Linked DNA regions of Danio rerio. The protein of the gene in region 1 interacts with the protein of each later gene in a biochemical or structural test. Links are inferred from orthologs where the notes say so. Each region holds a gene or a part of one and is shown in the gene's direction. Other genes may lie near its edges. The genes, in order: ep300b, etv1, stat3, kat2b, pcna, grip1 and myb.

Evidence for each region.
Region 2: of the proteins of ep300b (region 1) and etv1, one has a biochemical effect on the other in vitro, tested with the Homo sapiens proteins (2 studies listed by BioGRID). The link is inferred for Danio rerio from reciprocal best matches to the Homo sapiens genes EP300 and ETV1.
Region 3: of the proteins of ep300b (region 1) and stat3, one has a biochemical effect on the other in vitro, tested with the Homo sapiens proteins (2 studies listed by BioGRID). The link is inferred for Danio rerio from reciprocal best matches to the Homo sapiens genes EP300 and STAT3.
Region 4: of the proteins of ep300b (region 1) and kat2b, one has a biochemical effect on the other in vitro, tested with the Homo sapiens proteins (4 studies listed by BioGRID, with this or other methods). The link is inferred for Danio rerio from reciprocal best matches to the Homo sapiens genes EP300 and KAT2B.
Region 5: the proteins of ep300b (region 1) and pcna form a complex in vitro, tested with the Homo sapiens proteins (4 studies listed by BioGRID, with this or other methods). The link is inferred for Danio rerio from reciprocal best matches to the Homo sapiens genes EP300 and PCNA.
Region 6: the proteins of ep300b (region 1) and grip1 form a complex in vitro, tested with the Homo sapiens proteins (2 studies listed by BioGRID). The link is inferred for Danio rerio from reciprocal best matches to the Homo sapiens genes EP300 and GRIP1.
Region 7: the proteins of ep300b (region 1) and myb form a complex in vitro, tested with the Homo sapiens proteins (3 studies listed by BioGRID, with this or other methods). The link is inferred for Danio rerio from reciprocal best matches to the Homo sapiens genes EP300 and MYB.

Annotation. Positions count from the first base shown.
Region 1 is NC_133178.1:23,740,361-23,743,860, reverse strand, and holds the end of ep300b (histone acetyltransferase p300), read left to right. Parts: coding exon 1-2,320; 3' UTR 2,321-3,488; downstream 3,489-3,500. UniProt on the Homo sapiens protein: Functions as a histone acetyltransferase and regulates transcription via chromatin remodeling. Acetylates all four core histones in nucleosomes. Histone acetylation gives an epigenetic tag for transcriptional activation.
Region 2 is NC_133190.1:36,829,714-36,833,751, reverse strand, and holds the start of etv1 (ETS translocation variant 1), read left to right. Parts: upstream 1-1,238; 5' UTR 1,239-1,323; intron 1,324-1,509; 5' UTR 1,510-1,626; coding exon 1,627-1,671; intron 1,672-2,596; coding exon 2,597-2,684; intron 2,685-2,900; coding exon 2,901-2,948; intron 2,949-3,178; exon of another isoform or gene 3,179-3,567; coding exon of another isoform or gene 3,568-3,628; intron 3,629-4,038. UniProt on the Homo sapiens protein: Transcriptional activator that binds to DNA sequences containing the consensus pentanucleotide 5'-CGGA[AT]-3'. Required for olfactory dopaminergic neuron differentiation; may directly activate expression of tyrosine hydroxylase (TH).
Region 3 is NC_133178.1:15,703,973-15,708,041, forward strand, and holds the start of stat3 (signal transducer and activator of transcription 3), read left to right. Parts: upstream 1-1,269; 5' UTR 1,270-1,457; intron 1,458-4,069. UniProt on the Homo sapiens protein: Signal transducer and transcription activator that mediates cellular responses to interleukins, KITLG/SCF, LEP and other growth factors. Once activated, recruits coactivators, such as NCOA1 or MED1, to the promoter region of the target gene.
Region 4 is NC_133194.1:23,131,025-23,134,524, forward strand, and holds part of kat2b (histone acetyltransferase KAT2B), read left to right. Parts: intron 1-219; coding exon 220-306; intron 307-679; coding exon 680-861; intron 862-3,500. UniProt on the Homo sapiens protein: Functions as a histone acetyltransferase (HAT) to promote transcriptional activation. Has significant histone acetyltransferase activity with core histones (H3 and H4), and also with nucleosome core particles.
Region 5 is NC_133185.1:46,058,752-46,062,744, reverse strand, and holds the start of pcna (proliferating cell nuclear antigen), read left to right. Parts: upstream 1-1,193; 5' UTR 1,194-1,455; coding exon 1,456-1,676; exon of another isoform or gene 1,677-1,729; coding exon of another isoform or gene 1,730-1,761; exon of another isoform or gene 1,762-1,951; intron 1,952-2,155; coding exon 2,156-2,253; intron 2,254-2,675; coding exon 2,676-2,743; intron 2,744-3,250; coding exon 3,251-3,445; intron 3,446-3,993. Other genes in the region: E3 ubiquitin-protein ligase TRIM69, read right to left, coding at 1,730-1,761. UniProt on the Homo sapiens protein: Auxiliary protein of DNA polymerase delta and epsilon, is involved in the control of eukaryotic DNA replication by increasing the polymerase's processibility during elongation of the leading strand.
Region 6 is NC_133179.1:13,709,656-13,713,155, reverse strand, and holds part of grip1 (glutamate receptor-interacting protein 1), read left to right. Parts: intron 1-1,846; coding exon 1,847-1,930; intron 1,931-2,532; coding exon 2,533-2,608; intron 2,609-3,500. UniProt on the Homo sapiens protein: May play a role as a localized scaffold for the assembly of a multiprotein signaling complex and as mediator of the trafficking of its binding partners at specific subcellular location in neurons.
Region 7 is NC_133198.1:34,756,884-34,760,827, forward strand, and holds the start of myb (transcriptional activator Myb), read left to right. Parts: upstream 1-1,144; 5' UTR 1,145-1,314; coding exon 1,315-1,337; intron 1,338-3,194; coding exon 3,195-3,312; intron 3,313-3,944. UniProt on the Homo sapiens protein: Transcriptional activator; DNA-binding protein that specifically recognize the sequence 5'-YAAC[GT]G-3'. Plays an important role in the control of proliferation and differentiation of hematopoietic progenitor cells.

The DNA of each region.
Region 1 (3,500 bases):
CACACAGCTGACACCCAATCTTATATCTTTGCCCCAGCCTGGTGCAGGAGGAGTCCCAGCTGGAGCTCCCCAGCAGTCTCCTCAGCATCCTGTCCACCACCAGTTTCAGCAGATGCCTGGAGCAGGAGGCATGATGAATTCACAGCAACAACAAATGGTTCCTCAGCAATCATTGGGACAAGTGCCACATCCACACAATCAATATGGCCCCCACCCCACAGGTCCCTCCCCAAATACCCAGTCCCAGGGTAAACCAGGCCTTGGTCCTGCAACTCCTCCGCAACTCCCCAGCAACCCAGGCACTGTACCTATGGCCCAGCAACAACAACCTACAGGTCCTCCGGCAGCCGCTGTGGAGATTGCCATGAAGATTCAGCAAGTGGCAGATGCACAGCGGAAAATGGCACAGGTTCAGTTGCTACAAAGACAAGCTGCCCAAGCAGGAATGATGCCACAGCACCATCAGCAGCCACAGGGACAGATTGGAGTGGCCCATCCTGGAATTGGTATGGTAGGGCCACAAGGCTTAGCCTCGCAGGCACAAACATCAGCGAACAGGGTGCAGATGGAGCAGCAACAAGGACCTCAGGGAATGATGGGAGCCGGGCCCATGCAGCAACAGCAGCCTCAACAGGTCGCTGTGCAAGGTCAGATGCCCCCACAAATGCATCCACAGCAGCCGAGAATGAATCCACCACTTCAGCCTCAACAGCAACAGTGGCCAGGGCAGGGCATGCCTACCCAGCAGAGACCTGCTATGATGTCTCAGCAGGGAATGGTTTCAATGCAGCCCCAACCGCAGCCGCAACAACCATCACAACAAACGCAACAGCAGCAAGCACCCCAAATGCCAAATCGAAATGCCTTGATGAGTATGGTACAGGCTGGTCTACAGAGTGGCGTAGCAAGTGGGGCTGCAGCTAGCAATTTGCCCCAGGGAGCCTTGCAGCAGCTTTTGCGGACTCTGCGATCTCCAAGCTCTCCTCAACAGCAACAGCAAGTTCTCAACATTCTCCGGTCTAGCCCACTTCTAATGGCAGCATTTATCAAGCAACGGGTTCACAAGTATAAAGGAGGTACAGGTGGCCCCTCTGGACCGCAGGGAGGGCCAGGACCTATGGGAGGCCAACCTGTGGGTGTCAATACTGGGGTTCCCCAACCTGGTATGCATCTTGGACAAGGTGTTAACATGCAGAGTCAACTTCTGAGTCAACAACAGAGCCAACAGCAGCAGCAAATGCAACAACGACCGCTCCTGCAACAACAGCAAGTTGCTGCCTTGCAGCAGCAGCAACAACAACAACAACAGCAGCAGCAACAACAACAGCAGCAGCAGCACCAACAACAACAACAGCAGCAGCAGCACCAACAACAACAGCAGCAGCAGCAAGGGATTCAAGGACAGGGGACCCCAAACATGGCCAATCCACACTTCCGAGAACTAGTCATGAGAAGGCAACAGCAATTACAGTTTCAGCAGCAACAGCAGCAACAACAGCAACAACAACAACAACAAATGAGCAATCATGCGGCATTCCAGCAGCAGCAAGGTTACATGAGTCAGCAGGGTAACATGCAAGTCCCGCCAGGAGGTCAGCCACTGCAAGGAGTACAACCTGGCCAACAGCAGAATTTTCCTGGAAATCCTGCACAGCAACAAGCTGCAGCTGCTTTGCAACAGAGGCTTGCGCAGCAGCAACATCAGCTACAGATGCAACAGCAGCAGAATGCTGCAACACAAGGTCCTGACATGGGACCTGGAGGAGGTCCACAGCCCACACAACTAGGTCCAGGTCTTCAGTCACCACAGGCATTATTGCAACAGGCTTTGCATCAGCGTCTATTTCCGCAGCAGCAGCATCTTAGTGGCACCTCTCCGGCACAGCAAAACAACCCAATGAGTCCACAGCAGCAACAGATATCTCAGTCGCCCCACTTGCAGGGCCAGCAGCTCCCATCCTCCCTCAGCAACCAGGTCTGTTCACCACAGCCATCTCCACGACCCCAGTCCCAGCCACCTCACTCAAGTCCGTCCCCACGCCTGCAACCTCAGCCCTCACCTCACCACATCTCGCCTCAAACCCAAACAGGTTCTCCGCATCCCAGCCATCTTCAGCAGCATCACTCAGGCATGGCTCCACCTCCTCCACCCCACCAACAGCCACAGCACAACTCTAAGGACCCAAGCGGATTTGGCGCAGATCAGAATGCCATGCTTTCTCAACTCAGTGGCATGGCGGGACTCCACGGACCAGGAGCGAATGATATGCTGCCTCCTAGTGGCCAGGACCTTGGCATTAACATGAATCTAACCCTTTAGATCATATAGTTATTAGGAAATTTACAAAACCTCGCCAGAGAGTGTTAGCATTTTTTACAAGGGTGAATTTAGTGTTTTTCAACATTAATGCTTTGAGAACGGGCCCTTCTATGAGAGAGATCTCTTATATTCAACACAAATAAGTATATGGGGGTGTTTTTTTTTTCCTTTTGCCAGATATGTACAAAGAGAGGATTGTTTCTCAGCCTCAGAGAACAAACCACAAGTAATATTTTCAATGTCAGGTCCAGGGGAGTACTTTTCCTTTTTCAAGAGATATTTTTTAAGATTTTAAAAGTGGTATAAAAATAAAGCGCAAATGACTAAGGACTTCTTTTATATATATCGTTTCACCATGTACCAGTCTCTGTTACATGTTTTACAGAGTCACATGGAACATTTCAGCTATTGTGATGCCTATATAGTTATTATAATTATCTGAACATCATGCATATCTTCCTTGTAAATTTTGAGTTTTGCATTTTATTTATTCTAGCTTTTTCATTTGTCGTCATGATGGATTTCGTTCATGTGCGTTCCCAGAGACTGCTACAGTTCACATAGAATATATTTTTGTTAATACCTATTAAAATGGGGAGCTACTCCTTTCCTTAAGCTGGAGATTTAGGTTGACTATAATATAAATTACAGTGTTGGGGGATCGGGTTTGGTGTGCGCTCCGCTGCCCATTGGATCTTATTTCATGCCATATTGGAAATTCCTTTGGACATCACTGCTTTTGCAACAGGACGAGTTGTTGGACGCACACACCGGCCCGCCCGCCTGCCCTCAGAATGTGTGTGCACTCCTTCTAAGACTTACTGGATAGTGGAGCTGTCTGTACAGGTTGGGTGAGAGAATGTTTTGTGTATATGTGTGTGCGTGTGTATTAGAAGTGGTGCTGGAGTTCTGCTCATGCCAATGCCATATTGAGCAGCGTTTCACTTATGAACTGTATGGCGCAGTGAAACAACAGAACATGAGAGGCGTGTGTGCCACTGATATTACCATTTTTGTCCTTCAGTACCACTCCTTATTTTCCTCCACCTCCAGAATTTCCTTTGCGCTGAACTTTGGGAGCTTAATTTGAATATTTTGTACTGTACAAAGGAAACACAAACTGTGGACTTAATACTTTTTTTTAATAAAACGAAGATAACAAATTTTATTTATTGCGCAT
Region 2 (4,038 bases), on another chromosome or scaffold:
AATTGTTCTCTCTCTTTATGTTCTCTAAGATAAATATTAGGATCTTGATGGGCATGCCAGCATTAATATCTTTTATTTATTTAAATCTGTGGCCTCAGCAAGCTTAACATTTTAGGTACATTTGGGTACTAATATGCACCATTAAGGTACCACTGTGGACTATGTGGGTACAAGTATGTATCTTTTAAAAAAGGTACTGCCCCAGCAACAGCTCCTGTACCTTTATTTCTGAGAGTGTATAATATTATAATATTATAGTTATAAGTAATTAATTAGTATGTTAATGTTACAAAAAATAATAGAAATAAAAAGATGTTTATTTTTCACCTTTCAGTAAATTTTATTTTTACATTTTAACTCTCCAAATGTGAAGAATGAATTATATTTCATATATAGTATAGTAATGATAACATAATAAATAATAGAACATGTTGTTTTAACTCTTTAAGCATGTACACTAAAATCTATTATATCAAAATATAATAAAATAATCAATAATCCAAGAAATTTATCAACAAAAATATTTAATGACATTTAATGTGACATTTTAACTATTTATTGCTTATATTATATTATAAACCATACATGTTTTAAACTTAAACATAAATCTATATAATTTATTATTTAATAACTTGTTTTGTAATTAAATAATAGTTATTTAATTGGAATTTTATGAATTATCAATCTTTTTTACATTAATAACAAAAGTCTGAAAATATGCTGCTTTTTTGCAGACATACTGTAAATATCTTATATTGGCTCACAGTTAAAATTTGAGTATGACTACCAATTTTTAGACTCAAAAATGTTAGGAAACATTTCTAACTCCAATCAGAGCCCCATTAAAAGTTCACTGGGGGCCTCTAGGGGGCCACGGACTCCTACTTCAGAAACACGTTAAACCACCCTAAAAAAAGGATTTATTAACAACAGATCGATTTGCTTTTTAACATGTTTCTGTGATGCACTTTTGTAGCTTGTTCGATCATTTACAAGAATCCTAAACTGGATGCACAATATGATATTGGGAACTTTCACGCACGCAATTTACAAAACATCAAACCACAAGAGGGATTATAATGACGAGATGTGTGTTCTCATAAATAAACACCTTATAATTGCAATATCAGTTGTGCACATTTTAATGAATTTGGCAGTTGATTGACGGCTGGAAGTCTGAGGACAGTGGCAGCCAATGGGAAGCGGGGCTCCGGCTGTTTGGGAAGGGAGGCCCCTGGAGCAGCAGACGGCGAAGCTGAGCGCGGAGAACAGACACGAGCGTCCGGTGAAACGTCCGTCAATGAATCCGGTGCGTTAAGTGAGGTGAGTGCAAGCTTAAAGTTCTCCATCAGCTTCGTGAATCTTGTCTCGACACAAAACAAAAGTGTTTCCAAAAGTCCCGTCCCTGCGGAGGACCGCATTACGCACGCACAGCAGCGCAGTATCTTTCATTGCAAATGTATTTACAAAGTGTCACACATCTGCTGCTTTTTATTGTCTGTTTGATAGGGTGTGGAGAGAAAGATGTGTTTGTGACCGGAGCTCGCATCATTAAATCGCTTCATTAAATCGCTGAATCTCCTGTTCTGATCGGACGGCGCGCGCTCACGGTCCAGACGCGGCAGAATGGACGGACTTCACGACCAACAAGTGCCTTTTATAAAGTCTCATGTAAGTCTGGTGAAGCTAAACGCGCAATTAAGTTGATATATGATTTGTTATGTACTTGTGTAATTGATTGAGGACAGTTGGCGTTTTTATGAAACGTGACAGGAACGTGCCATTGACGCGCGCGATTCTGCAGCATAGGGAGCTTCACTCATTTTTGACGACATATACGATCACTGATAGTTCAAATGTACATATTATAATAGCATTTTATCTTGTTGTGGTGTATTAAATTACTTAAATGACATAATTTATCGTGCTTAGGCTTATAAACGTCACTTTTTGTGCTATTATTCAAATAAAAGGAACTTCTGTCACCTTAATTGATTCTGACTAATAAACAGTCACAGGTAATCTAAACGTACAGATTATAAAATCTTTATAACTTGTTTTAAAGTACTGTAATTTATTAATTTATCAGTTCTAGTTGTATAAAGTCTAGCTTTTAATATGATTCTTCAGTTTAAGTCTTTAACTTCTGTCCTCTAGAAAGATTTACATAGGCTAAATATTAAATGTGGCATGAGATGATGTGCATTTGTGTATAGAATGTATAGAAACTTGGTTTTACAACTTTTTAAATTAGGCAACATTATCATTTAGGCCTGCTTTTGAGCATTTTTTAAATTAAAAAAATAATTGGTGGCTTGTCATTTTTGTCAGTCCAAGACTTATCAAACTTTTCAGCTAAATTGGAAAAATAGTAATTCTTAGTAGATTATCAAGTCCACCTGAGGGCTGATCAAGGCCACCAAACATCGATTTTACCCCAAGAAATAAAAAAAAGTTTGATTTCTGAGTATTTCAAAGAAATCAAAAGAGCCTGAACACTACATCTAATGTAGGCTATGGTGCAGAAGTCTTTCAATAACCATCTCAACTCCCTCTGTCTTCATTTGAGCCGATTGATCTGTTGCTTTCTGTCCAGAATCCTCGGGGAAAGACGTCCGGCACGAGACCAGCAAAGGACAGAAAAAGAAAATTCATTAACTCTGACCTGGCGCTGGACACTGAGGGTAAGCACTCAGGTGTGGGGTGAAACAGACAATGTTCATTTCACGCCTTCTTAACATCTCGCTAAAATGCAATATCGCCCTTCGCCACCTGCACTCAGGGGCTTTAAAAAATCTCAATCAGCAGCGCTCGCCTCGCTCTTTGAGTGTCAAAACTCATAATTAAACCTTTGTACCTGTTGTTTCACCATCGTCTCTCTTTTGTTTTTTTGTTTTCAGAGCTGTTTCAAGATCTTAGTCAACTTCAGGAGACCTGGCTCGCCGAAGGTAAGCTCTGCTCTGTTTACTTGAGCTTCTCATCGGTTGATCGAGCTTTTGTTTCCAAGCGGAGAGAGAGAGAGAAGATTCTGGGGGAGGGGGAGCAAATATGCCTCAAGTTACAGACCTAATCTGCAGTCCAATTAATGCATCTGTAGCGAAGGCACTTGGTGTGTCATGCATACATTAGTGCTGGAGAAGAGCAGGAGTCTAGGGGGAGACCGAGGAGGTTCTACTTTGAGTGTCATCACAAATTACCAGAAGAACTTGTGCAGTCGCTCGCGCTCACTCTCTTCTCCTCTCTTCGTCCGCTTTTGGCAGCAGCAAAGGCAGACGAGCCACCAACACTGCCACCTTTCTCTCTCTCCCTCTCTCTCTTTCTCTCACGCGAACACTCTCTTTCTTTCCCTCACAGCTTTCCTTTTTCTTACTCTCTCTTTGTGTTTTAAGTTTTTAATCTGTCTTTATTTTTGTTGAGAAATGGATTGACGCTTGATCGTTTATTAGAGCTTCAACTTTTATTAATTTTTTTTCATCCGTGCTAACTTTTTTTTTTTTTCGGTTTGTTTTTGGCCATTTTTTTCTGTCTCATGGCAAGACGTGCTGGTTGTGGTGTAACTCAAACGTGATGCTTCAGGAGTTAAACGCGAGTGTCTTCTTCCCACCTTGCTTGCAGCACCGACCTTTAGGTTAGTAAATGGTTCACTTTGTGGTTGATTGTAGATGTGTTTAGACATATTTTTAATGTGATGTAAGTTTGGTTCTATATGAGAAAAAAGATTTATGCCATTAATAGCAGTTTTTACTCCAAACTTGCAAAATGTTGCAAATATAACCTAAAAGTTATTGTTTTTTGATAGTAAACTTAATTCTGATAGTTTTTATGTGAAACTGTTGATTGTGACGTTAAAGATGGCTTTTCTTGTCTTCGCTTTGTTTCAGACTATTATTCAAACTAATATGTTATGCTACCGATGGTTGCTATTTAAACTTAAAGTCATTTCTTTTTCTGAGAGTTTAATTATAATTCTGTTATTTAAAAAATATATATATTTTTCAGATTTTTCAAATATTTTCAAAGTTTTTTACTATTATTATA
Region 3 (4,069 bases), about 8.0 Mb from region 1:
AGCCGCTTGATTATAACAGAAAGTTAATTCGACATGGGTGTCCTTTGGGAATTTCAGAGGGGTTTTTATTACGATATCTGCGGTTAAAAATACAGTCGTATACCTGGAAGATCAATTTTTAAACTAAAAGTAACAATATAATTAAATTATTTTTTATTTTCTTCGGGAAAATCAGAGGGGAGTTTTATTTCAATATGTGTGGTCAAAAATACCATGGTAGCTGCACATATCAGTTTTGAAATAATAAAAATTATAATATAATAAAAAAAGCAAATAAAAAATAAACATATACACACAAACCTTTTAATCATAAATGCAAAAAGATGTGCAGCTATTGACTAAACCAGACGTCTTCATTTACAAAGCTATAGTCCAGCCAAGAAACTGTTTATTTGTTTGCTCAAAGTTTACAAAGTTATTTGTAAAGTCAAAGTTTCTAACATAGTTGACTTTTTAAACTTGATATTCTTAGAAATAAATAAGACATTATTTTACACTATACTTACTCTAACTTGATATGAAATGATGATTAAAACATGTTTTATTTTGTGTTCACACACTTAAACGTGCACAAAGTTACAAAATATATATATATATATATATATATATATATATATATATATATATATATATATATATATATATATATATATATATATTTCGTTATTATTCTATTTATTATGCTTTAAACAACAGATACATGATGATATACATGGTGATAGAAAGTAAATGATAACAACAATACATAACATAAATAAACAAAACAAACATAAAAAACAAAAGTATAAGTAATTAACTAACATTCTTACAAATACAAATAAGCAAGACATTTACATTAATCAAAAATATTGAAACTAGAGCACAGTTGGACAGTTTTAATGGCTTTTCAATTATCACTATGCTGAATAGGTGCACAAAGTTATATAAAGAGACGCATTGATGACGCCAAACGTCACGACAGCACACACTTCACATCCACTGAATTAAAAGTCCAGATGACGTAGGCGCTGCCAGTAATTCAGATGACTTCCAGCCGTGCTGTTCCAGAAGCTGGATTTCCCCCCGCTGTGCTGCGTATCACAACACGGTTTTACACGGGAGGAACCGGCAGCCGGAACAGCCTGCACAGCCAGAGCAACAAACACAGGCGGCCTCGAGCTGGCGCGCGCTTAGTCCCGCCTCTTCTGCGCCATTCGAGCTCAGCGATTGGACAGAATTCTAAACTCGCTCGCGACTGCGTCAGAGACATGTCAATCAAAGCGGAACCGCAAACGTGCAGCCCATTTTCGCACAGACCACCGTAGCTCGCGTGTTTGCAGTGTCAGAAAAGTTGGAAAAGCTCGTTTTACGATAGCATATCGTCTCTAAAACGCTTGTTTTTGTAGTCAATAACGTGTTGACTGCGCTTGTTTCCGTGGAGGACGATTTATCTGAAACCTTGAGCGACACATTAAGGGGTAAGTTGTCCAGCCACGTCGCTTTTTTAAAGGAAAACGCAGTTTGACGCAATTTTTGGGGATGTTTCTGTTGTGTACATTGCTTTCTGTTGTCAGGTGGTTCTGCTTGTGTTGATGTTTGAATTATGTTATAACGTTAAACCGCTAGATTGATTTCTCGTGACGGAAATAATGTACACATTGTTTCCACTTGGCTGTTAAATGAAGCTAAAAGATACTGTGACCTGACTAGACAACAGTTGATACTTGTTACATGTGTAACAAACAAACTCGTTTTAGTATGATGTCGATTCAGTAGACGTGACAGAAGTATTAAGAATCATTAAGTTTGCTTGAATGAATGTTTGTAGAGTTTATTTCTTCTTCACTTGATCTGTTGTAGTTGTTTTTTTCCTCAATGCAGATTTTGTTTGTTTGTGTCATTTTACGCTTATAGATGCCATTTCTTGTCATTGGAATCCATTCATCCTCTCAGAGTCGGTCAACAACGCTTTATCTGCATGATTGGCAGGGTATAATAGTGGAAAAGTGTATCAGATAGATGCTGGTGGAGCAAAAAAAAAAAAGACAATGAAATTGAGCAATTAAAAAGAGAGAGAAAAAAACATTGAAATGGAGCAAATAAAAAGAAAGAGACAAGTGTTAAAAAGGCATAATTCTCATAAGTCAATTTTACTGGCATTTATATTTACAATATTGCACCTCGTGATGAAGTACTTGCATACACTTGCAAAATAAGTACGTGTTCATAATAATAATAAATATCAACCAAAATTAATAGACAACAAGCTGTTTAGCAGTACTAGAACCACCTATAGTACAAAAAGTCTCTTGATTTCACTTCTCATTATTGTTTAATAATCTGGCTTGGATTTGCGCCACCGATTCAGCATAAAAAGCGCATTGTATGCCAATCTGGCAGCTTTCGTACTTGCATTGGTTGGATAGGTATCTTTTTTGTTGTTTTTTTTTTTTTGCCTCCACGGGTATTCCCCACCTCTGCCCCATGACGTCACTCTTCCAGTACATGGCGAGGGAATCCTCGAGTAAGAGGTGATGGAGACCGACCTGCGCGCGCGCTTTTGCTCGGCCACTGCAGTCTCGCTTCTGGCTTTCATGTCGCCTCGCCGAGTTTTGCTTTACTCGACAAATGAAACCAGTTTCACAGTTCCCACCGACGAGAGATGTGCACACGTTAGACACTGGTGCACTCTGATTGGCAGTTTTTCTCCGTATCTCAAGAGAGTGTCCTTAAAGGGACAGTTCACCTTAAAATTCTTCATTTACTAGTTTAAAGCCTGTTTAAGATTTCTTCAACTGTTGAACAAAAAAGAAAGATATTTTGAAGAATGCTTTTTGCTGGCACCCATTCTCTTCCATAGTAAAAAATACTGTGGATTTTAGGGGGTCGTAGCAACCAGCATTCTTCAAAATATCTTCTTTTGTTTCCAACAGATGAAAGAAACTCATCATGTTTTAAAACCACACGAGGGAGAGTAAATGATTACAGAGTGTTTGGGTATCCCTTTAATGTTTTTTTTTTTCAGAGGCAAAAATAATTTGGGGGTGTCAAGGTGGCGCAGTGTTTAGCATGATCGCCTAACAGCAAGAAGGTTGCTAGTTTGAGCCCCGGCTGGGTCAGTTGGCATTTCTGTTTGAAGTTTGCATCTTCTCCCCGTGTTTGTGTGGGTTTCCTCTGGGTGCTCCAGTTTCCCCCACAGTTCAAAGACATGCGCTATAGGTGAATTACATAAGCTAAATTGGCTGTAGTGAATAAGTGTGTATGAGTGCTTCCCAGTTTTGAGTTATGTCTGCAAGGGCATGTGCTGCGTAAAACATATGCTGGATAAGTTGTGGGTTCATTAAGCTGTGGTGACCCCTGATTAATAAAGGGACTAAGCTGAAAAGAAAATGAATGAATGAATAAAAAAAAATTTGCTATCAAACATTGATAAATAAAATTGCTATCATGCATTTTAATGATTTACAAAAGACACTTACTAAATTTGTCATTTACTATTACCTTAGATATTATTGGGGCTGCACAATATATCATTTCATCATTGATATCGCAAAGAGCTGACTGTAGTTTAAATAAATTGAGACCAAGAAATTATAATATTTGTAGCTTTATGATAGATTAATCGTATTAAATAGTTTATGGTGAATTTAATGGTCTTATTTTACATTTGATTATTTGATAATTTGTGTCTGAATATGGAACACAACTCAGAAAAAAAAGCATAAAGCTCTGTTTGTTTCAGTTTTATCTTTGCAGCGTTGTATTTAATTATGCTTGTGATTTGTTTATTGTATTTCATGAAGATATTTTAGAAGGAGTGTTTCTACTAAAAATCATCCCAATCAAACTAAAGTTATGAAGTATTTCCAATTTTAAGTCAGCTGACAAATTGTAATAAAATCTTAAAATCTGAAAAATCTGAAAATTGCTGAAAAACAAAATATCGCAATGTCAGGTTTTTTTTCCCAATTTTGTGCAGCCCTTTCATATACCTAAAAACCGTGTTTTAGAACAAAACTCATTAACAGGGTTTCTGCAGGGTCATAAAAACTATCTTACATCTCAAAATCCAAGTTTAAGGCCTTAAAAC
Region 4 (3,500 bases), on another chromosome or scaffold:
GACCATGTCTACATGCCTAAATGCACTGAGTTGCTGCCATGTGATTGGCTGATTAGAAATTTGCGTTAACGAGCAGTTAGACAGGTGTACCTAATAAAGTGGCCGTTGAGTGTATATTAATGTAATTTTACATTCCGTATATGTTCTGTGTATATTATTACAACTGTATATATTCGGTTTGCAACTGTTTGTCCAGCTTATTTGTTTAAACTGTTACAGCTGCTAAGGAAATGCATCCTGCAGATGGGAAGGCCAGTGGTGGAGGCTCTGGAAAGCCCGCCTTTTGAAAAACCAAGCATCGAGCAGGTAACTTCTCAACTGTAAATAGCAAGAATATTTTTTCATCATTACGAATGAATCATTGTCTTAATCTTTACATTTAATAAGCTGCATGTGTTTGGTGACATACTTAACTAACAAGTCAACCTCTTCATCATGATCATGTGCGAACATCAGTGATATTGGTGTCAGGAATGAGCATTTATGATATAACTTTTTATAACTTTTCTTCTAAAACAGACTTTGGTGAAAACCACAAGCTCCAGCTTTCTTGCTTAATTTGTAGGCATTGTACTATAATTCTGATGTACAAATATGCTAAACACCCAAAGACACATTCCTAAAATCCTTGCTGTTGGAGACACATTTATGTTTTTTTCCTGTGTTGTTTTTGTTGTAGGGTGTGAACAACTTTGTGCAGTACAAGTTTAGCCACCTTCCGTCTAAGGAAAGACAAACCATTGTGGAGCTCGCAAAGATGTTCCTCAACCAGATCAACTACTGGCAGCTAGAAACGCCCTCACAAAAAAGACAAAGAGCACCAGATGATGATGTAGCTGGTTATAAAGTCAATTACACCAGGTGATTGCTAGTTTTTTTTACTTTACACTAAGGATTAGTTCACCCAAATATGAAAATTCAGTTATTAAGGGCTCATAATCATGTCATTCCAATCCCCTGAGACTTTTATGCAACATTTAGAACACAAATTAGGATATTTTAGATGAAATTTGAGAGCTCTCTCATCCTCCCTTAGCCATGTTTCCATCTAAAGATGGAAATTAAATTTATGTGCAAAACTGGAATATTGCATAAAAGTTTTGTGAATGAAGCAGCATTTAAACCCAAAGAGTCAAAGAGAACAAAATCGTTAACTGGTGCCGAATATCAAAAATAAAAACAGAATTTGCTGTGGTAGGATGAGCTGCATTAATCTTATTCATTTAATAAATTATTTGAAGACAATGCCGACATGCAATAAGCGCGTGGTGGCGTTTGAAGATGTGAGATGCGGAGCACAGTCACTTTTGACAGTTCTGGACGTAATAAATAATATATTACCACTAATACTGAAATAGTTACAGCATTTTAGAATGACCAAAACAACATTTCAGATATTTTACAATGTGGTCAGCCTGCTGGTTTGTCCATTCACTTACATGTTATTATAATCACACGCTCTCCTCTAAAAAAAATCACATGACTTTTTAATGCGCATCCTGAAATTAGTTTGGTAAAAGTGTTTCTATCGTAGTTTATAGCAGTTGTTTCTTATTGAATAAAAAGTTAATATTCAAAGTTTATGTGCATCTTGGCATTTCTATCAACCATTTTTTATGCGCACATCTAAAATGCACATAATAATATTAGGTGGATGAAAAACATAGCTATTGACAGCACTGCACTAAAAAGTCCAAAAAAGGATCTAAATCATTCCATGTGACTTCAGTAGTTCAACTTTAATCTACAAGGCTCCAACATCGCTTTTGTGTATGAAACCACATTCACTTTTGGCAGTATGTAGACATGGGGCAGAATAAGTTTCTGACGGTGTCAACCTTGGATAAAAATATCACAGTGTTGTGATTACTGCTGTAAAATAAGTTATTTTTAAATGTCTTGGTAAAAAAAAAAAAAAAAATTCCCCCCTAATGAACACAATATATTTTATTTTAGGAAACATTTAAAATTTTTTGGAACAGTAAACATCTCAGACTAAAGAATAATAAAAAAAGGCATTTGCTATCTTCATTAGTTTCAAAACCAGGTTTCTTTACAAACCTTAAAAAACTCTTAAACATACATTTGAAGTGGTTAAACAGAAAGATTTTGCGGGTTTTAAAACTTTGAATTTTTCAAATCGCGGTAAACCTTGAAACCGGTTTTCGTCCCATGACTGACAGTGTGACATATTGCCAATAGAGTCAGCAGTGAAACTTCCTTGCATTGTATTGCCCATATGAAAGAGATAATTCATCCAAAAATGCGTATTTAGTCACTATTTACTCAATGGGTTCCAATACTTTATGAGATTATTTATTCTCTTGAACACAAAAGAAGATACTTTGATCAAAGCTTAAAACCTGTAATCATTGACTTCCATACTAGGAAAAACAAATACTATGGAAGCCAATGATTACATTTCCAACATAGATCTTCTTTTGTGTTCAACAGAAGAAAGAAGCTCAAACAGGTTTGAAACAAGTAAAGTGTGAATAAATATTGACAGAATTTTTTTTTTTATGTGTCAACTATCACTTTAAATTAGTACCCTTATTTGGGTAATTTTTATTGTATTATTTTCGATACAAAAATATTCTTATAGCTTTTGTATGATTTCAGTTGAATCCCTAAAGTCACATGAAATGTTTTGACAATGCCTTGGGTCCTTTTTAGAACATTTCAGCATTGTTGTTTTCTGTAGATGAAGAAGCTCTTGGATATTATCTAAAATAATCTTCGTTTGTGTTTCGAGGATGAATGCAGGTTCATAAAAAAAGTTTTTCTTACTTAGAATTTTTTACTTGTTTCAAGTCCAAATATTTAAAAAATTGTGAATAAAAAAATTCTAATTTATTTTTTTTAACTTAGTTTTACTTTTAAACAAGCTAAATTATCCAACAAACAAAATAATCTTCAGTTTATTTTTAATTAAATTATATATCTTTTTAAAGTGATCCGCTTATAACGTTATAAAGATTTTGACCAACAATTATCACAATTTAGAAGTATTGGTCTATTTTCTACAACACACAAACAACATTTCTAGTAAGTGTTTTGTGTTGGAGAGATTTACTCCCTTTGGCTTTAACAAAATCATCTTTAATAAATCATCTTTTCGAAAGGTATCCAATTGTTCAACAGATGGTGCACTAACGAAACTGTTTAAATCAAACTCAGCCATACTAATATTATGCTCTAAAACTCCACTCAATCACTAATCTTCATTCACTCAAAACTCAAAATTGATCCGCTGTCAAACACACATCGTCTCACTTCATCCCATAAAGAGATAAATTTAAATAATCTCACCGCTGCCACCAATTAAATGTTACGTGTTTTATGATGTTAAAGTGGGATGCTGTAATATTTAAGTGACACAGGTGTAATGTGTGCGACAGATCAAGAATGAGGCAAGGTTCAGTTACTCTTATTTAAGCTTTTTACTTAATAATTGAAACATGTAACAATAATAAATGGGGAAAAAAAACATTTATAAT
Region 5 (3,993 bases), on another chromosome or scaffold:
TACATACACACACACACACACACACACATACATACATATATATATATATATATATATATATATATATATATATATATATATATATATATATATATGCTCAAGTATCCCCAACTGTATCCCTTCTTTTGTTTGTGTAACACATATATGTATGTATGTATGTATGTATATATATATATATATATATATATATATATATATATATATATATACATACATAAATGTGTTACACAAACAAAAGAAGGGATACAGTTGTGGGATACTTGATCATGCGCACATCAACATAGCATGATTTTTGTGACACAACAGTATTTTACGTTACTGTGATGGGTCGATTTAGGATTTGGGTAAGGTAGACGTTATTAAAAAGCATTATAATGGGTATTCATAAATATTATAAGTAGTTATTGTTAACTGAAGACCGCAGCTATATCCTTTAGCAACAAAACATGTGTTACACAAAAAGTTGCGGATACTTGGGCATGCGCACATCAACATCAATCGTTGGTACACTGCACAACAATAATTAATATTTTACGTTACTGTGACTTGTCGATTTAGGGTTTGGTTAGGGGTATACGTTATTAAAACGCACTGTAATGGGTATTTATAATTTTTATAAATAATTCTCGTTAACTGCTGACCGTAGCTGTATCCCTTCTAGCAACAGCACAGTAATTTGTCACAGAAACAAAAAAGGGATACAGGTGCGTATACTTGGGCATGCGCACATCAACATAGTCTGATCTTTGGTAAACTGCACAACAATAATTAATAATTTACGTTACTGTGACTGGTCAATTTAGGGTTTGGTTAGGGGGTATACGTTATTAAAACGCACTGTAATGGGTATTTATAAATTTTATAAATAATTCTCGTTAACTGCCGACCGTAGCTGTATCCCTTCTAGCAACAGCACAGTAATTTGTCAAAGAAACAAAAAAAGGGATACAGTTGTGGATACTTGGGCATGCGCACGTTGACATAGCATCATTTTTCACACTGTACGACAATATATAATATTTTACACCACAGTGACGGGTCAGTTTAGGGTTTGGGTGGGGGTAAAGGTTATTAAAACGCACTGTAATGGGTATTCATAAATGTTGTGAATAACTCATACCTTCTGACCAAATTGCGCCCTCTTTTGGTCAGTGTCCGCAGTTCTGTCTGCGTTCCAGGAGGAGTCAAACGTCAGCGGAAATGACGAAGGCAACAGTGGGTCAGTTTAACAAAATCCCGGCGAAAGCGCGCGCAGTTACATTCAGAGCCTCGCCAGAACAGTGGACAGCACATCTGCACCGTGCCTCCTCTGCATTAGTACCTGCTAAACTCTAGGATAGTTTAGGATTCTGCTTTCCTGTGCTGGAAAACAAGCAGTTAACCAGGCCGCAGCTTGTGTCGTAACAGGATTAGATAACTTTAGTTCCTCCTACTCTAAACTAAGAAAGCAGCACAATGTTTGAGGCACGTCTGGTTCAGGGATCTATCCTTAAGAAGGTCCTGGAGGCTCTGAAAGACCTGATCACCGAGGCTTGCTGGGATGTGAGCTCGTCGGGCATTTCTCTGCAGAGTATGGACTCCTCTCATGTGTCTCTGGTGCAGCTGACGCTCCGGAGTGACGGGTTCGACTCCTACCGCTGCGACAGAAACCTAGCCATGGGGGTCAATCTGAGCAGGTAAAATCACTGACTAAATCAAGCGCCTTTTGTGTTATTTGACTCGTATTTACTTGGTGAGTGAAGTTTGAACATGTCTGCGCATGCCCGGGGCTGCGCCTCTACACAGCAGCGCGCCATTTTTAGACTATAAAGTGACAAAAGTATTTTATTTACAGTAGTTGTTATTAAAGTATGCCGTTTTACGGTTGTGTTTTAAATAGGCTATCAGTTTAATTTGGCGCGCAGTTTCCTGCATTCGTCCCACGCTCTACTGATCGTGACGTCACTTGCGCGCGCTTAAGCTTGTTGGCGGGAAAGAAAATGCCGGGTTGCTGAATGACAACATGGCTCTGGTGTTAGACAAAGAAAACCTGCTTAGACACTTTTTGTGTATGCCATGACTGTTTCGAATGTAAATGGTAAACCATTTTACGATCAATATGGTGTTTTTCTACCTGAAGTGAACGTGTTTTGATTATTATTCATCTGTTTCCTAGCATGTCGAAGATTCTGAAGTGTGCTGGAAATGAAGACATCATCACACTCAGAGCTGAAGACAATGCTGACGCCTTGGCACTGGTCTTTGAAACGCTCAGTAAGTTAACTTCTTTTTAAACTAGGAATAGCAATACTTTTGATAGTGTACAATTAAAAAAAACTTTTTTTTATTATGAATTTATTTTATGTTGCTAAATTTATATTTGCAGTATTTTAATATCGATTTATCAGCAATACCTGTTAAAAACATGGGCTTTGGTTTAAAATGAATCATTAAAGTTAAGCTAAATAATTAATACTTAATATTTAAAAATAATTTTCTAATAATAATTTTCTCCAAAAATGTAAGAATGAAATTCGCATAGATACTGGAGCCATTTTGTGGTTAATAACATCACATAAAAAAAATGCTTCTAGTATGGATTTTCTTCACCATGTTATCAACTATTACTATGAAACCAAAAGTTAAGTTTTGCTGGAGAGCTAATAATCCATACTAATATTTACATCTCATTTCAGATCAAGAGAAAGTGTCCGACTATGAGATGAAACTGATGGATCTGGATGTGGAGCAGCTTGGCATTCCAGTAAGACTTTATTATAACAGGGTGTCTGCAGGGTCATTAAAAGTTGATAAATCAATTTGGTATTAAACAGCCTTAACTGTTGTTTTACAAGATATAATTGTTTTGGTCATTTTATGATTATATAATGTGTAGTTGTGTGCTAAAGTTTGCCTAAATTTAATCTGTGTGGTTTATGAAATTGATAAAATCCTGCTAGATTTGGCATCACACTGCTTTGTCTACTGCAGTAATAAAGGCAAGCCTATGTTTCCTGCTGTTCTATAGGTGCCATCTGTTGGGATTAGCATTTTTATTCAGTACATGACCGATTTAGTTTAGGATTCGTTTCTTACAATCAGTATTTAGTAAATATACTACAAGTTGAATTGTCACCAATGTTAAGTTAAAACCTAAAATGGCGATGAGGTCTTAAAGTTTATTGAGTTTCCCTCTCTTGATTCCTGTTTATTTCTGATATGATCGTGGATGTTTGTCTGCAATGATCATGCTTTATTCTCTTCCCCTCAGGAGCAGGAATACAGTTGTGTGGTGAAGATGCCGTCGGGTGAGTTTGCCCGCATCTGCAGGGATCTGTCACAGATTGGTGATGCTGTCATGATCTCGTGTGCCAAGGATGGCGTGAAGTTCTCTGCCAGCGGAGAGCTGGGCACAGGCAACATCAAGCTCTCACAGACCAGCAACGTCGACAAGGAGGATGAAGCGGTAACATACTATTCATTTAAGGCTGCACGATACTGGGAAAAATATGCAATATATATTCTATAATCAAACATTTCTCTGAAAAAGTCAATTTAATTAGCTGTTTTAAAAAAATTATTTCATGATTTTGCAATAAACAAGTAAAATATATTTTCCAGATCTAATTCAGACTTAAAACTGTCAAGATGCAAACCTTTAGTCTTTAAAGCACTATTAGTGAGAATCATTTTTTAGCTCTGATTTCACCTTTAAGCCAATCCAGCCAATAGCAGAACAGCAACTACTTAGGAGGCGGGGCTAAAGGTAGTAAAGGCCCCATCTGATTGATCAGATTTATATAATAAGCAGCTTTATTTTCATTTAGCACCTTTAAAAGTAGCATCTCGGGGCACTTTACAGACATAATGTGCAGCTGTTAAAGATGCATACAGGATGAATGCAAAAAAAATGCAATGAATATAATCAAACGCTTACAATAATAATAAATCTAAAAAGCTACCCTAAAAGAGTAGGTTATAAGTGATTTAATAATTATCTGGGATTTTATCAGA
Region 6 (3,500 bases), on another chromosome or scaffold:
TGTTTTGATAAGAAAGGTGGATATGCACATTGAGACGCAGGGATATCGGTGGTTCATATGAGTCATTCATAACACAAACCAATCACTCCCTCTGTTAAAAGTGAAAGCAGGATCAGAGGGGGTGTTTCAGAACACTGATTAAATCAAATTTTACAGGGTGGGAGGATAATACATTTCCATGCACACAAGCACATGCTTTTTGTCACCAATAAACATGTGGTTACTTATCCATCAATATAGAAAAGTGATGTAAAATTATAATTTTAGTAAGGTCAGTCCTCCACTGCACCTTGGTCCTACATTCATTACAAAGGAACGCTACCCTGTACTAAAATGGCGGCTCTATTGATGCATTCCTTTCAATAGACAACATAGGCTTAAGCGACATCTAATGTAAATATATATGCGCAAAGACTATAGAATACACAAGACATGTTACTCCTATAGTTTTGAATAGGGAAAAGTGTAATGGTCATATGGCGAATGAAACCCCGCCTTCAAGTACAGGAGCCAATCAGCGATCGATGTAGACTGACGATTCCCTGTGGGAGGGGCTTGGATCAGACGTGAGTTTCTGCAGATTTTAAAAGTTTAGAAATAAAACTAACGAGACAGATTTTGTTTAGTTTTATTGGTGCTTCCTAATATGAAATTTAATCATACGCAATTTTGGAGAATGTGATGTTTCCCCATTCAAACAGAATGCCCGAGGATACTGCCCAAGAGGCGTTTCAAAGATGGCTGCCAAGTGAAATGGCTTGCATTTGAGGGACTTTGACTTGCCCCACCTCTGAGTTCCTCTGATTGGTCCACTGCTTTGTAACTAACATTGAGCAAGTTGAAATTCTTTTAATTTGACATGGTGTTTTTCATCAAGTCTGTATTTACATAGACAAACAATGGAGAAGTAACACATTGAAATAGAGAAACACATTCTGTGTGAATAACTGCACAGTTTGGATACTTGATGCTGATTTTTCAGCCATAGTAATCTGCATTTTTAGAGTAATAAACAATTAACTGTTTACTGTATTTGTTTATATTAATATATAATTGTTCAGTAAGTTTTGTGCTGGTATCTTGGCTAGTTTAGCCCTGTCATCAATAAATAAATATGACAGTGAAACTGCCAGGAGGCAAGTCCCAGCCTTAATGAAGGACTCATTCATTAAAATGATTTGTTCAAAACAGCTGATTCATTTAGCTATTAGGTAAGTGTCATCATCCAAAATCATCCAAATAGCCCATTGCACCCTACATGCAAAGTGCCACATCACATCTTTTAGAATTCTAAACATTGATTTATATGAGGGTACGCACATCGCTGCCAACATTTTGCATTGATTCACATTGCTTAGCAATATATAGAAAGCAATGCAAAAACAAGGCACAGCAAGGCTGGTGTATAACCAACTTTACTGTAAAGCAACAATAAAACAAAAAAATAAACATCTCTTTTTATTTGGCCAGTGTTCAACATAATACTCTCAAAAATGTAATTAGAGCAACACCTACAACTTCTTGATGACCTTCATCATATATTTTGGAGAAAATGTAAAGCACAGCTCACTCCTTTGGTTTTCTTTTTAACAATGTAAATGTATTAAGTGGTTCAGGCAATGTATGAGTGAAAATCTGTCCGTGGATTGTTATCATCATAGATGATAAATATTATGCACCAGCCTGCCTCTGATTCATTGCAATGACACCTGTTTTATAACAGCACACTTACACTGAGTTTCTTCACTCTCTATATGATGTAATCTGTAGTTTGATGTTCATTCATATGCTCTGGTCAAGCATTGAAATCTTGACAGAACTTTGAACTGTTCATTTCTTTCCTCAGCTGTACAGGGCTCAGGGGTCATGTTCAAAAACGTGGAGGTGACGCTGCACAAAGAAGGCAATACATTCGGTTTCGTCATCAGAGGTGAGCAGACTTCCACACATCAGAGCTCAATGCGCTTCATTCACATCTACATCAAACAAAGAGAGACCATTCTTCGCTGAAGATTTATTTTGCTGCCCTTGGGCCTGTTGAAAGAGACGCAACAGCTTTCAGTAGCACCGCTAGCACTCGATTTCTAAATATTTACCAAACAGCATTTTAGACTTCATTAAAAGAAAGACATCTTTTTTTCATATCCATCTAGAGTATGAAGTCTTTTGAAGAGCGGCAGAAAAAAAAAAGCCAAGGTCTTGGTTAGCTTTGCTCCTTTTCTCAAATCATTCTCAAAGAGGCATACTAAGGACTTCCTTTTCATCTTTGAGACTCCATTTGTGAATTCAATGGCATGCAATTTTATAGCGAGCAGCGGCTTTAAAAATGTATAATCTTGTGCTTTTGTTGAAAAATATATGGAAATTTCATTGAGGTGAGAAAACGGCCTTTATTGTCTTTCAATAAGACGCTGTATGGAGCTGATTGGCCAAATGTACTGTATGTTAAAGCATCGGGTGTACTGTATGTCTTGCTGTATGACTTCATTTGATAAACATGTCAATACGAGTTGTTTTCTTCCTATGATGTAGGAGGCGCCCATGAAGACAGAAACAAATCTCGCCCAGTTACCATAACAACCATCAGACCCGGCGGTCCAGCTGACAGGTGAGTTGTTCCTGAACTCAGCTAGATTCATCAGCACTGACATTAAAGCTTTCTTCCAAAACATAAACAGCATCCTGAACAAAAGTGGCTGAAAAGAGACTGATTAGAAACACTCTGATCTAGGCAGGAGAAATTTCCATATTATACAAAAAGTCGAAAGTCTAACAATTGATTTCGGTGGAGTTGGTGTTAGCATTTTGCTTAGCTAATGTCAGTACTGTGATTCAGTAAACAGATGAAACCTAGGAATCTTGTTCCAATGAAGTTGTTTATTCTTTACTTACAGAAACTAAAGCATCTTCAGTTTTAGAAATCACAAAGTATTACTTAGTGTTCCCAGAGTTCTAATTATGTAAAGCCCCGGCCAGATCATACGGTTTTTATTGTCAGTTATGAAAGTCAAATTATGCGATTTTGTCTTAATCAAATCTTAACTTCTCTTGGGCAAAAAATGTGCCAGACTAAAGGTTCCTTCACAATCAGTCATCTCGTGACATCCACAATAAGCGTTATTTCCCAAAGCAGTCACAAGTGTTGCTATAACAAAATTTCTTATCTTAATTTCAATGTTTTAAAATTTTATTTCAATTTCAATAAACACTGATGCTTGCTGACAATTAGGTCATAAAATTGTTATAATATAAAATTTTGTTATAACATTGATGGGATCAAACGTTTATTTTCTTTTTAATATTAAGACTTATTTTAATATCTCCATTTTTTTAAAATAAGATAAATGCTTAAAACTTAAAATAGTCTTGTAGCATTTACAGTGCTGTTGACTGCCAAGAAATTATTATGTAGTTGCATTTTTTATTTTATTTTTCTGTGCATGTCATATTATTTTTAACTCTTGCATGCTTGTTTGCTCTCTGTGGTGCTTGCAATGGGT
Region 7 (3,944 bases), on another chromosome or scaffold:
CCATAAAGGAAAACGTGCATTTAGGAATGGGGAACTTTAAAAACTGCCCCAATCGAAATAATGTTTTTGAAAAGTTTATCTGTACGGCTCAGCGGTTGTTTTGCGTTTGAATAGCTTCGCAGAAGAAAGAAAATTCTGCACAGATATTTAGGCGCAACACTGCTGGATTCACATTTCGATACACGGATAGCAGTTCGAACCTCTGACAAATGACTCTTATGATCCGGTTCTTTTATGGAATCAAATACACACAGCCTTCAGCCGCGTCACTGTGTTGACCAACTCGAGCAAATGACTCTTATGAGCTGATTCTTGTTAGTGACACGGCGAATCAATTATTACCTTATGTCCTACTTAAAAAGAAACTAAAACATCCCATAATACTTTCCGTATGTCCCATTGATGTGTACAACACTTGAAGTTTGGTTCTCTTGCTTGGAAGTAGACAAAGCCCAAACATTTCTGTATTAGCTGGTTATTTCAGCGCATTAGTAGTAGCTTATTTATAAATATGATGTGTTAAAGTTGTGTAATCAGTTTTGTTATAAATAGTGGTATTTTGAAAAATATGTCTAGGCTACATCTACCACGTTTTTTTAATATGTTTGAAGTTTGTAATTACTGATTTGCATTTCTTTTATTAAAAAGCCACGAAAATGTAACATTTAGATTAATTTATTACAAATTTAGTTGATTATTTAAAACGAATAATAATTGTTATTAATTTTAACAAACATAATTTAAACCGTTTTAAATATTCTTTTAAAATCTAACTGAATTTGTTAAAGGGAGTCGCGACTGGAACCACAAGCCAGTTTTTCTCACCATCCCTCATTAGAGTACAGCAGCTTCAGTACCGCAGAAACAGCGATAAACTCGAGAGAGGATGCCCGGACCCCCTCACGCTCTGTTTCTCCTTGTTTGCCAAACTTTCACTCCCACTCAGAGTCCACATTGTCCTCCAAGAAACGCGCTGCCACCCCTCCCTGCCTCTTTACCTCCAAAAACACAATATAATTGTTCCAAAAGCACAACAGTGGACGATTAGCGCGGACCTCTTGCTCAAAAGGCGCTCTTCTCAGTGAATAGTCGAGCGGATGGTGCGCATGCGCAAGACCCGAGGCGCCAAATTTAGCGGGAGGGAGAAAGACAGCCCAGCTTTGTCTGATGGATCTGTTTACAATATCGCACACTCCACTAGAGAGCTTAATATCAGCACTTCCTCCTCGAAGAGGAGCTGACAGCACTCCACCTTAGCACACTTGAGCCGAGCGCACTCACCATCACATCTCTACCTTCCTCTCGAACAGCGGGATGGCGAGGCGGCACAGACACAGGTGAGTTTTAAAACTTATGCATTATGATGAAAACTTTCGCGCATGTATTTCCTTATACTGTGAGAATGCGCTCCACAGCCACATGGAGGTATATATATGTACACACGTATAAACGGCTTGTCCTAAGAACATTGTATTTCAGAAAAGGCATGCTCAAAATGAGAGCTTTGTTGCATTTTTATAATCGCACGCATCTTAGTCTGCGAGGACTGGCATTTGTTGTGGCCGCGCGCGCTGAACAGGTGGATGGCATGTGCGCTCTCCGCTCGCGCCCGCGCGCGGTGGTCTCGCGCTCGCGTTCATTTACATTTTCATTCATCCACCTGCGCGTGCGAGTCCGCTGGACAGGTTAAGGTTTGATTCGGTACTTCCCCAAAAAGAAGAACACTCATTTAGATTCAGAAACAACAGAGGAGAGCCGCAATGTCAGCGGCTGTGTAGCGTAGTTGAAAAATAGCGGGCGATTGCCAAAAACATCTCGGTGTGTTCGCGTACTATTTCTACTAACTGAGTTTTACTCTTTTTCGGAAATGGCTCTGAATTATATCGTTTGGATTAATTTTGAGATTACACGTGAGCCGGATGGATTATAATCACTGAGTTTTCTAAATCCGCTTTACATTTGTCGGTTGTAATAACTAGCGTGGTATTATAGTCTTAAAGGGATAGTTCGACCCTACATGAAATGCTGTCATCGTTCACACACCCTCATGCTGATCTTAAACTGTTGTAACTTTAGCGTCGAACAAAATTAAATAAATGAAAATGAGGCAGAATGCGAGTGAGGGTCTGACAGTCTCGCGAGCCATTCACTTTCACTGCATCTTGTTTCTATTCAAGTGAATGGAGACTGCGGCTGTCATTCTGCCTGTTTCCTTTTGATGAAATATTACGATAAAAGATGAAACAAAACTATAAGTTCAGCAGGTTAATTTTGTCTTTTTAAGTTTACTTCAAATTTTGGAGCGTTTACAGTTAGCTAAATTCACTTTAATGTATATTAAGTTCACACAACGGGTTAAAAGTGAGAGTATTTCGTTGTATTTGTCACTTAAGCTAATAATAAACTACTCAAAAATTCCTCTGAATTAGTTTTCAGCCACAGTGAGACTATTTTGACAGGTATTTAAAGTCACAGTACAGTTACTCAGCGCACACTAAAGATGAAACCATATATTTGACTACATATTTGCTTGGACTAGGTGCGTTCTGAGTTTTACATTTCAGTGTAAACACTTGTAATCAATGCAGCGAGCTATCATCCTTATCTTTTGTTTTGAGTACTCGCATTAAGGATAAACATGAGATTTAAAAGTACATACACATACACCTGTGGCACAAAGGCAAGGGGAACATTGTTCTCCACGTCTGCTTGTGCTCAACCCTGATTGGCCCAGAGCCGGCCAGGTGAGATGGTTTTGACAGTACCTGTGCAGGTCTAAACACGCTTCTATCATGAAACAGTGCCAGTCCACGCACACGCTTGCTGTTTCTGTGGAAACCAAAAACACCAGAACAGGTTTCTGTGAGCGTGTCCCCCCTGCACCCTAACCTGCCGGCTGTACTGGTTCATCCACTCCAGTTTTGTGTTGACTGTGTTATCGCTTAATTTTTCTATAACGCGTGATAGATGTATGGAGGTGAAAGGGTGCTATTTGTGTATGTCACCAACACACATCTGGTTCATGAAGATTCCTCCCCACTCTTCTTATTAGTGCTCTCTCTATTATTTATTCTATATTTACCCTTGGTTTGCTGTTTTATTATTACCCCCCCTTCCCCCCCCCCACCCGACTCACCCTCTCTTTGATACCTTACTCTCTTTATCTCACAGTTGATCATTTCTCTCCCCCTCAGTGTTTACAGTAGCGACGAAGATGATGATGATGTGGAGATTTATGATCATGACTATGATGGTCCTCATGCCAAGACAGGAAAACGCCACCTCGGCAAGACACGCTGGACCCGTGAGGAGGTACATAAAACTGCTCTTTGCCTTTGTTTAAGTGTTATTTTTGTGCTGTTGTAGTAGTTTAACACTTTGATCTATATTTAATTACAGATATATAATAGCATCTATATTATAAAGATATAGTAACAATGATCTATATTTGCTAACAGCATTTTGACCAATTGCAAATATAAGTAAATTATATATACTTACACACAATATTATTTTTGTAATATTATTAATTTTCGCAATATTATTAATAAATCTTATGATACTATACCAGCTATAGTATCATGATACCAAGTTGTATTGCAATACTGTAAACTCAGATTATAAAGAAAATTTGTCAGAAATACTGTATTTTATGTTATAATAGGCCTATTTGAATTTAATTCATAACTCCCTTATTTTTACATCTAAATGTTATATATAATACAAAAAAAATCTGTAATCTATATTTGAATTATTAGCCCCCCTGTTTATTTTTTCCCAATTTCTGTTTCAAGGAGATTTTTCCAACACATTTCTAAACGTAATAGTTTTAATAACTCATCTCTAATAACTGATTTATTTTATCTTTGCCATGATGCCAGTAAATAATATTTTACTAGATATTTTTCAAGACACTTCTATACAGCTTCAAGTAACATTTAAAG